Coturnix japonica: one gene and its partners. The protein of the gene in region 3 interacts with the protein of the main gene of each other region in a pairwise test. Links are inferred from orthologs where the notes say so. Each region holds a gene or a part of one and is shown on either strand. Other genes may lie near its edges. The genes, in order: ADIPOR1, FSHR and APPL1.

Region 1 (3,692 bases), on a different chromosome or scaffold from region 3:
CAGTGAATGCAGCACTCAGAGGGGAAGTGCTGTGAGAAGTCAGAACATCCCGAGACCGCAGCGGTGCTGACTCACTTGGAAAAAGTCCGTGAGACCTTCTCTGAGTGACAGTAGACAGTGTGGAAAAGCCAGGAGAAGCTGAGGCACAGCACCGCCCCGAGGAAGAACATCCCGAACACAACCTTCTCCTGGAGAGGAGCCATGAAGTACATGTTGGGCCGCAGCATGGTCAGGATCCCCAGGCAGAGGAACAACACAAAACCTGCAGTATATACACAGCAAACGGGAAGTCAGACAGAGGAACATCCAGCATCGACAGAGGGAACACAACAGATGGAGGATCCCTGAGACAGGCTGAGAACGCTGGCAGCAGCACAGGGAAGGTGGTAAGGGATACAGGGGGGGGAAGAGGCCAGCATGGCAGGCACAGAATCAATGCCTGGGGGTCTCTGCCTTACAAACATGATGCCTCCTTAGTAGAGCAAAGAGCCAGGAGAATCACAGAGGCTGCACACATCCTGGCTTTCAAGGAGAGGTTTTATGAGACACTGTTTTGCCCAGGACACATTTCTCCATCCCAGGAGCAGAAACAGCTGACCTACAAGTGCTGTGCAGTGGGAGCAGTCTGGCCACAGCACAGCCAGCACCTGAAAACCCTGAGCCTCTGAGTCCCCATGCAGGCCAGAACTCTGTAGAATGTCCCAATCCATGTCCAAATGGGGCCATTGGCTCTTGAAAAGCATAAATGACACCACTGAGCTCAGGTCTCAGTGCTGCTGTGAGGGACTGTCCCTATTCTCCCTTCACTCTGAAGCCCAGGAGCTCCCAGCCTCCAGCAACTGAGCTGCCTCCACGTGCAGAACCAGAGGGGTACGTGATCCTAAAAGGAAGGCGGTGGGCATCAAGTAAATCCCTTGGAGCAAACCTGTCCTTCAGAGGCCACCCCTTGCCTCAAGCATGGGGGCACAGCACACCTCCAGCCCTACAGAAGCTCTGAACAACCACACACCCCCCCCCTCACCTAGCAAGTGAGTCCAGATGTTGCCTGTCTCGGTGTGTATTCGGAAGATGCTCTTGAAGCAGGCTCGGAAGGACGGCATCGGAGGTCGGTGCCCGTGCAGGAGGTAATCGTTGTCCTTCAGCCAGTCGGGCAGCACATCGTAAGGGATCACACGCCAGCGCCCTTCCCATACCTGCAACAAACCAACTCGTGTTGGTGGCCACCAGGGCTGGCAGCAGCAGTGATACAGCCCAAAGGTTCAAGCTGAATCACCCTGGGAGCTCAAACTGCAGGTCTTGCCTACAGAAAAGGCCCCAAAACTCTCCTCTGGGAGAGGAACTTTGGCTTTCACAACACCCCGTGGAATCCCTTACACCACCCACATCCTGCGCTGCACTTCCACATCCCCTAAGGAGCTGCAGACAATGGGCAGCGTTTAACCCTTCAGCACACCGAGTCTGCTCCCAGCACTGGAGGATTCCCTTTAGCTTTAGTCCTAAAATGAAGCCTGGCTGACAGAACCGTGCAGGGCCTCATGTATTGCCAAACATGGTGACCACGAGCACCAGGTCTGAGCAGTGGCACCCAGCAGCATTTCAGCTCCCAGGCACTGACAATGAAGCTGCTGCTGCTCCTGAAGCCCAGCAGAGCTGAGCACAACCTCCAAAGGAGGGATCCCACGAAGCTCCCATACCTTATACACAAACTCCTCCATCTTCTCCATGGCGTGATGAGCCTGCAGGGGCAGAGTCAGCACACGGACCACCTCCTCCTCTTCCTCACGGGCCACCGGGCACGGCGGGTCTTCAGCCTGGACACAGAAACAACCCCAGAGGGAGAAAGAAACCCCAGAGGGAACCATGGGGGGCACAGGGACCCAGAGAGCAGCCGGGGCTCCATCCCATCCCATGGGGTCGCCCAGGACCCACCGCTCCCCATCACTTATATAACTGGCTCCAGCCTCAACCCCGTCAGGCTAATCCCGGCTTGATCCCGGTTTCAAGGTGGTTTTACAACGAGGGATTTTCATCCTTCCAACCAAACTAAAGGAGACCCCAGGGCTCAGCCTGGAGCCCCCCGGGGCACATTGAACGGCCATTAGCAGCGTCATGAGCTACGATCCGTTTGGGGCCCAAACCCTCGGGGCACAAACCGATCCCGGTTGGATTAACGGAGAATCACGGCACCGTTAAAGCTGGAAACGACCTCCCGGATCCCCCCATCCCGATCCGGTCCCTCCGCCGTTCCGAAGCATCCAATATATCCCCGTTATTGGGCACAGCGGCTCCTAACGCCCCAACCGGGCACATATGGGACACATACCGGACACATACCGGACCATACCGGTCTCATCCCGGTCACCCCGCCCGTCCTTTACCGATCCCGTCGTTAACCGGTCACACCGCCCCCCCCCGTTCCCGCTCCTTACGCTGCCGTTCCCGGCCGTTCCCCGCTCTCCCTTCTCGTCCAGCAGCGGCCCCAGCTCCGCCAGCTCCATGTGGGCCCGCTCCCTCCCGGTTGCCGTCAGCCCGTTGCCCTGAACGGCGGCGGCGGCGGCGGCTTTCCGGGACGCCATAACGGCGGAGACGATCGTGGGCTCCGTCCGCGTCCTGAGGAGGAAGAACGGAGTGAACGACACCGGAACCGACCCGACACCGGAACCGGCCCCGCGTCCCGGAGCGGCACCGACACTCACCGGCCGCTACATCCCGCGCTGGGCGGCGGCGGCGGCACCGGAAGCGACGCTGAGGGAACGGGCCGCTTCCGGCCTCCAAGCCCCGCCCCCACTGGGGTCTTGCAGAACTCGCGCTATGATTGGCTGGAGCTGCTGCCTGTCTCTCTCCTCTCCCACACAGCCGCCCGCTGCGATTGGCTGAGCCTCACAGCTGGTGGGAGACGCTCTAGCGTGGTGGTGCCGTCTCTCTGGTCGCGTCCTCTGCTGCCCCCTGCAGGCGGGGAGTGGAATTGCACGGGGTGCGCAGCGCCGGGGGGGCGCACCGGGAGGCACGGAGCGCGGTGCTGTCACCGCATCGACACGGCATGGACCGGACACACCGGCCTCGTCCTCCCGTCCCCTGTCCGTCTGTCCCCCGTCCCGCTCTCTGTCCATCCCAGCGTTATCCGAGCTCCCAAAGGCGTCGAGTCCTCCCCCGCCATGTGCGGGCAGCCATCACCGATGCCCACGTTGCCCTCGGTGCCGGCTCGTCTTTCCGTCCAGCTTTAATTACCCCCGGTGTCTCCCCGCTGCCGGATCCGGTTCCCATCAATGATTCATACCGGGCTGTAGGACGGGGTTCCTCAGGCTCCACGCTGGGACCGGGGGGGATTTTCCGACCTTTCTGGCATTAAATCGGTGCAGACGGTGGTTGGAGCTGAGCACCGTGTCCCCCCGGGGTGAGTGATGGGGCTTTGGGGGGGCAGAGGCAGCATGGAGCTGTGGGGTGTCGCCTAATGGGGGTCAGGAGCCCATCGGGGTGTGGGGAGGGGCAGAATCCCTTCCATGTGTGTATCCCGGCTCCCTGTGGCTGCTGCCCCATGGATGGAGCGCTCCGTTCCACCCCACAGCTGATCCAGGAGCACGGGATGCTCTGCCGGTCCCTTCATTAGCAGCAGCTCAGCCATCCCGGAGCCTGGAGCTGTCCCTACTGAGCTCTCCCCTCTGCAGGGATTAACGCCCCGGTGTCCCCATGGG
Region 2 (3,651 bases), on a different chromosome or scaffold from region 3:
AGATTCTTTCAAACAAAGACATGTCAATGCTGCAAAGATACCTATTTAAGAAGTTTCAGACATGCATACCTTTCTGTGCTTCCTTAACTCTCTGAGAATGCAGGTTTTTTCATTGTGGAGGCTTTCATCAGGCAAGTCTCATTCATAGGTCACTGCAACCCAATTGTGGAGGCTGCACTGCATAAATGGAACTCTCCAGATAAGCAGTAACATTAATTGCTTACTTCATCAGCATATCTCTGACCGTACAGTTGTTCTCAAGGCACTTTGTTTTGATATTGGTTTTATTAAAATGGATTTCAGAATGGAAAATGCAAAATAGTTTAAAGATTACACACATAAAACACACTGTTCAGTGCTGAGGAGAAACCAGGAGGCTTTTTGGGCATTGCAGGTATGAATAAAATGTATCTTGCATTTTTTTCTTACACTGCTTTTTTTCAGTTAAAAAAATGTATCTTGCATTTTTTTCTTACACTGCTTTTTTTCAGTTAAAAACAAAACAAAAACCAACCACGAACAGCTACCTTGAAAGCAGCTATAAATGGATCAGTGTCCCATGAAGGGATGGTACAGGCCTACAGTGCCTCTTACACTCTCAAAGAGTACCCATTGGCTCACCTTGCCCCACTCCAGGGATCCAGCCCTGCAAAAGCAGTTTCAACCCAACTTTATTAAACCGCATTGAAAAATAATTGTTATGAAGGATTCCTTCTGCTCTTGTTTTTCCTCTCTCGTTTTCTAAAACAGAACTTAAGCTGAACAAAACTGTTAGAAATTCATATGAAATCTGATCCTTTGGGCCCACCTATCTCGATCAACGCAGTCGTAGGGCGCATTAAACTGGGCTTCTGTCTCCTGTAATCTCAGAAGACATGGTTAATATTATTTGCCATTGTTCCAACACATTTTACAGACAACAGAAGTAATTCTACTTTTTTTTTTTCCTCCTCCTTTTTGACCACATATAACTATTACTTCATTCTCAATAAGCATCTGACATCTTCCTAGACTGAGGGGATTCTCTGCCTGTATAGTAGGAGATATGCATTTGTAAGCTCATTTATTTCTGGACACAATTCTACAAGGACACTTTGACGTATATTGCAGTCTCATTCTTTGTCCTTCAAGAACTAATGAAGATTATGTGTCATCTATGAGGACGAACAAAAAAGCAAAGTGGAAATAGAAATGTTTTCTCATAAAAAAATACGTTTGCATGCTATGTTGAAGTCATTATTCAAATAGTTGAAAGTGATTATCACACTGCCTCAGACACAAATTCATGCAAGCATTTCAGTTCAAGTGATTCAGAGGAACCAGTGAATAAATAGTCCCATCACTGTTTTTTGATGCATTAGGGTAATGGCCATTTCTTGTGTGGAAATTATGAGCAGATGAGGAAGTCTCTGTTCTGTAAATCTGGGCTTGCATTTCACAGCAACCAAACTTGCTCAACAGAATGAAGAAATCCCTGCGAAAAGTCTTCGTGAAAATGGCATAGAGGAAAGGGTTAGCGCAGGAATTAATGGGGTAAAACAAAACCAAAAGGATCTTGGATTTGGACACCGTGATGAGAGGAACCCTGAGTGAAGCTGATATTGCAAAAAAAGATATTGGTGCCATGCAGAGGAAGTCTGTGAAGATCAATATAGCCATGCGCTTGGCAATTTTGGTGTCACTGTTTGAAGAGATAACATTGGGGTTTCTCACAGTAAAGTAGATGCAGATGTAGCAGATGCAGATGATCACAAAGGCGAGTACATTCAACACTAGAAGAAATATAACATAAGCCTGAGAAAATGGTGTTTCTATGTGCATGGGCAAACAGATGCTGACCTTCATGTAGCTGCTGATGCCAAATATGGGAAGAAGTGCCACTGTGAAAGCAAACATCCAGCCAAAAATCATTACAACCACAGCATGCCGAAGTCGAACCTTGCGGTTAAGTTGCATGGCATATGTAATAGTATGCCACCTTTCCAGAGTTATCACAGTCAGCGTGTAGACCGAGAGCTCACTTGCAAAAACAGTAAAAAATCCTGCAGCGTTGCATCCTGCCCCAGTTTGCCAGTCTATGGCATAGTTGTAATACTGGCTTTTGGTCTGGATATCCACTGATGCAATAAACAACAGATAGATACCTATGCAGAGATCTGCAAATGCAAGATTGCACATTAGAAAGCGAGGTACAGTGAGTTTGTATTGACTGCTTATTAAAATAATTAGGACAGTGGTGTTCCCAGTGATAGCTAGAATGTTGATAAACCATATCAAAACTCTCAGAACATTGTGTCCCATGATATCTTCACAGGGGTTGAAGGCATCAGGTTTGGGTGAGCAAGCCACAATGACGACTTCATTGCACAAGCCATAGTCAAATTCGTTCTCTGCAGGGCCAAAACGTGTGCCATAATGGGAAATGTAATCTTCAGCTGCAGATCGTCTGCGTTTCTTTTTGCCAGTCTGTTCAGCGAGGTCTTGCTTAGCCTGAGATATGCCACATATTGGGTATAATTCCGTGCTGAAATTGTTAAAAAACAAAAACATACAGAAAAAGCAGAGTTGTAAACTAAGAGACACAGCATGAGGCTCACAACAAACACAGAATCACACTGTTTACGTCAGCAGTTCGGTTCTTCTGGTTAGCTGATTGTAAAGGTTTGCCTGGAACTTGAAAGCAATGGATTGATAGGTCCCTATTTATATAACATTACATGATACTGTAAATTAATTTCAAACATAAAACATATGGGAATGAAATCCTGGTGATTGCCTTACTAGCAATCTTGAGGCAGTTATCCACCTGGACAGAGTAAGAAGCCTCCCTTATTTCAGCTCTATTTCTCACATATTTCTCTGTCACTGGGAAGGTGATTCTACATGGGGAAAACACATGATGTCCTACATAACACCAGACTCTGAAGAATCAATTCAGTGTGGCCTATAAGGAAAGGAGCCTGAATCACTCCCCTGTTCATCAGTATTACTTCCTTTTTTTCCTGAAGTTTTTGGCAGTCAATGTGTCGTACTGAAAACCAAAATTCCTTCAGGGCACAGAGCATCTGCAGTGTGTGCCATTCATTTTGAGTATATCTAATATCATATTTGTCACTGGCCATTAAAGCAAATAAATAGCATGAAGCGAGCAGGGCTTCCAGATAATCTCTGAAAGACAGATACCATCACAGATAACAGTAGTAGACTTGGCAGAATATTTTGCTTCAACCACATTTCTCAAGGAAAGTGAAGTGAAAGGAAGGAGTGAAGGGAAGCCTTAGCTTCCACAACCACTGTTAGAATGGTTTGGGTTTTTTTTTTAATGTTTTGAGAATTTTCAGTGGGAAAAAATGGAAAAGTTTCAAGAAATTTTTTTTCTTCGATTGTCTTTATTATTATTATAATTGTTTTAATTTAGTTACTTTGTGTTTGGCTTTATTTTCTAGAGGATTCATTTGGAACCCTTCTTCTCCATGTGTAGACCGAGGGAAGACACAAATGTTTTGTCTGAGATCAGATCCATTGAGGTAAGAAATAAAGGCCTTAAATAACTGTTTCTTGTAGAACATCAAAGTTTTGCTGTTCCAGAAACTTACAGCCATAGGTTTGCATAAAGGTAGATCCGAACTTGATTTGAATTCTCAAATAAAA
Region 3 (3,466 bases):
CCTCTTGGTGCTGTGCCCACTGCAGCTCATCTCACTCTGACAGACGTGGTATAGGTGACCAGATTCTTGGAACTGAGGACCACCGATTTAATATTTTCTTTGCTGTTGCTGAATTAATTTATCTTTGTGTGTACTTGAGGAGGACACAGTAAGTTTGGAGGTTAAAGGTTGGACTGGATGATATTAGTCATCTTTTCAACCTCACTGATTTTATAAATCTGGGCTGTGCTGGCGTGTTGTTTCATAGAAAGTAGAAATCATTACATTAAAAAAAATATCCAAGAGAAGGAAACATAAACTGAAGCAACTTGTAGAGATAAACTGGCTGCCACGCAACTGGATATAGGCAGGAAAAGGAAAGAAAAGCATTTGCTGCCTTTCTGTACGTTTCTGTTGAAAAGAATGAAAGTAGCCTCTTACAGATGAGGTTACAAGACCAGACAGGAAGTAAATGCCACTTAAGTTTTTGTTTTTTGTTGTTTGTTTTTAAAGCCTTAGATGTGTATGGTCCATGTGACACTACAAGGCAACATCTGGTCGCAGGCTGATGCCACATGGCCTGACTGGATAACAGCAAAAGCAGGTACTTCTGCAAGCTACTGGCTGCTCTGAGGATGAACGGGCTGAAACAGAAGGAAGAGAACCTGGAGCCTCTCTCTTGCTCAGTCTCCCACTCCACCTCCTCTTTCAAATACTGTGAGCACTTCCACAGGTGTTAGATCCCTTCTTTATGCTGTGGTGTCAGTGGCACCGTGAGAGCAATGCTCCCTTTTCTCTCCTGTGACAGGAGGCAGATGCAGTTGGTTGCTGCATAGAAATGCCTATCTATCTCCAGCATAAAAAGCAGAAGGAGGTTGCCTTTGTTAGCCTACGCAAAACAACTTCTATGCAATTAAGGACAGTGTTCCTTTTATGCATCTACAGCCATCTAGCACAGAGGTCCTGAAATCCCTCACTTAACCAGCACCATGCAATTCTAGCTATGAAGGGCTGGGCTGAAAGCCAAAGACTAGAAATGTTCTGCAATGAACTGTAAAACACTCTTAACCGTTATAAAACATCTTAGAATATACTCTTCTCTTTCTACATTTTCTGTTATGCTCAGGCCACTATTAGAGAGACATCTGTTCCATTGGAGTTTAGTATTTATAGTAATTAGTGCAAAAATAAATATTTCTTCTTACTTCAAACACGTTTTCTCATCTGGATCAAAAGATGAATGCACATTTAGTATTATACAAAATAAATATTACACAGGGTATGGGCCATGGAGTTCAGGCTTATGAGGTATAAACAGAGACTGCTTTGAAAAATGCATTAGGAGACTGACTATAGGATGCAGAATAGCGCAGTCTTTTATTTCTATCTCCTGTTCAAGGAAACCTTCTGCATTTGAATCCCCCTCACCCCCCAAAAAAAAGACGGTACCACACAGTGCAGATTTTGTTTCATACTGTCTTATCTGGACACTCCCTTTTGTTTCCAGCAAGGTGTTCTACACGCTGCAGTGTAATGAACAAATTGCAGTACTACTCAAGTTCAGTGAGAACTTACGTTTCGTTTCCAAAGCAGTCAATTGCACAGATGGGCAAATGGAAAAAAGAAAAATCCATCTTTTTCCCTTCCTGCAGAGAATTCTTTGAGAAAACCTAATTTTGAGAAAAAGAATGGTGATGCTACCATGTCTATGTGGCATACAAAAGAGAACTGAAACTGACATGAAAGTGGTAATCGCTTAATTGAGAAAGAAACAGCAAGGCATATTAGGGTCTAGACATTGTGAAGTCTTTATATAATACAACAGACCCTCCACCTAGATTTCGCTTCTTGTAGACCTTACTTAGATCCATGATTCCAATTTTAATGAACTAGGCAACCTTAGGTTTCAGATTCCCTTTTCTTCTTTCCATCCTCTCCTAAATCGCTGTCTTCTGACTGGCTGCTGCTGAGGACGACAAACTGTCCTTCTCCACTGCTTGGGTTTGATCTGTTGGAGGCAGCTATCAGTCGGCTTTGCTCCTCTAAGTCCTGATTAGAGAAAGGAGGGAGGAAAGGGAAGGAAATCAGAAAAATAATGCTCAAGTTAAAGCTCCATAAGGTAGAAACAGAATACTACTAATAAGATTTGGACATTTGGGTTTCAAAAGCTGACATCAGTAGGAGAGTTTACATGTTTAACGCCTCTATTAGTGGTAATCCATACAATACAGCAGGTCAGAACTAACAGCTTGGCCTACAGCCTGCTCCCTGCAGGCTCCAATCTCCAATTGAATTGCGTCAGTGCCTGGCTGATGTTTTCTTGCAGCCATGTATGGGACAGTCTGCGATAGGTGTTCCTTCAAGCACTGCTCTTAAATACCCCCTATGAAGAAGTTTTGTTGTTTATCTCCTCAGAAAAGCTCTTTTGAAGAACTAAAATACAAAATTATACAGGACTTGCACAGAAAATACTTCAATAACTTGGTTTCACAATACTCTGTTTGTTTGTTCTAAAGAATGTGATATTGCAGCTGGAACTACAAAGCTACAAAACAAAGTGACTAAATAGGAAAAAAATCAAAACAAAAAATAGTATTAAAAATAACAGAGCATACCTTTTCAATTTGTTTTTGTTTAGTCAGTTCTTTTTGTTGTTTCTCTTTGACTCTCTCCATTTCTTTTTGCTTTTCTGATGCTTTTCGATCCTGAAGGGCAAAAATAACAGTAAAAGAAACAACTGCCCAGTGGGCTTGGTGTGCTGTGGGCTTATCTGAGTTTGTTCAAAACTTCTGGGACACCTGATTTATGCTTCTTTTAATGGACAGGTATGTTTGTTAAAGGTACAGAGTGGATTCCAATCTTGAGCATTGTGCCAGGGTAGATACTGGTGAAGATCTTTTTATCTTGGATTCAAATTCTATAAAACAAATCCTTTTGAGTTCTCCACAACAGCATTACTGCATCTATAAGCATCCTGCAGAATACAGAATATTACAGACTCTAAATATGCCTTCTCCCTTCCATTCACAAGGATACTGTGCCCTAAACAGATTCTTACCAGTTCTGCATGGAAAGCAATCTGTTTTGCCAGTCCAACGGAGTCACAAATCTAAATAGAAATCAAATTTGAAATCGTCTGTAAGAATCTAACAAATGCCTTTAAAAGCATGCCACGTTCCCACATCAGGTACGATAGTGTGCTAAAGCATTTTACAGTTACTTCAGCTATTGGATTAACTTGTTTTCAGTACATAAACTCTCCCATACAAATCCCATAGACAGCCTGAATGGAACTAACACCTTAGAATCCATGTCAGAAAACGACTGGAATCAGAAAATGGATACAAATATAACCATCACCAATACCTTTTCCCCTTCATTATTTGATTCAAAGATATAGCAGATGGAAGTTTGTCGACTGTCAGCTCTCCCTCCTGAAGTTCTAAGCACAAATCCAAAGAGGCGCTTATTCTCCTGATGTGTAGCA

The links.
Region 1: the proteins of APPL1 (region 3) and ADIPOR1 interact in binary tests that used the Homo sapiens proteins (3 or more experiments, as listed by UniProt). The link is inferred for Coturnix japonica from reciprocal best matches to the Homo sapiens genes APPL1 and ADIPOR1.
Region 2: the proteins of APPL1 (region 3) and FSHR interact in a two-hybrid assay, tested with the Homo sapiens proteins (2 studies listed by BioGRID). The link is inferred for Coturnix japonica from reciprocal best matches to the Homo sapiens genes APPL1 and FSHR.

What each region holds. Positions count from the first base shown.
Region 1 is NC_029541.1:1,478,657-1,482,348, reverse strand, and holds the start of ADIPOR1 (adiponectin receptor protein 1), read right to left. Parts: upstream 2,804-3,692; 5' UTR 2,697-2,803; intron 2,611-2,696; 5' UTR 2,577-2,610; coding exon 2,430-2,576; intron 1,812-2,429; coding exon 1,695-1,811; intron 1,194-1,694; coding exon 1,022-1,193; intron 263-1,021; coding exon 76-262; intron 1-75. Other genes in the region: tetraspanin-18-like, read left to right, coding at 3,688-3,692. UniProt on the Homo sapiens protein: Receptor for ADIPOQ, an essential hormone secreted by adipocytes that regulates glucose and lipid metabolism. Required for normal glucose and fat homeostasis and for maintaining a normal body weight.
Region 2 is NC_029518.1:9,165,510-9,169,160, reverse strand, and holds the end of FSHR (follicle-stimulating hormone receptor), read right to left. Parts: intron 2,525-3,651; coding exon 1,297-2,524; 3' UTR 465-1,296; downstream 1-464. UniProt on the Homo sapiens protein: G protein-coupled receptor for follitropin, the follicle-stimulating hormone. Through cAMP production activates the downstream PI3K-AKT and ERK1/ERK2 signaling pathways.
Region 3 is NC_029527.1:6,340,583-6,344,048, reverse strand, and holds part of APPL1 (DCC-interacting protein 13-alpha), read right to left. Parts: coding exon 3,346-3,466; intron 3,089-3,345; coding exon 3,038-3,088; intron 2,685-3,037; coding exon 2,595-2,684; intron 2,550-2,594; exon of another isoform or gene 2,029-2,549; coding exon 1,879-2,028; 3' UTR 1-1,878. UniProt on the Homo sapiens protein: Multifunctional adapter protein that binds to various membrane receptors, nuclear factors and signaling proteins to regulate many processes, such as cell proliferation, immune response, endosomal trafficking and cell metabolism.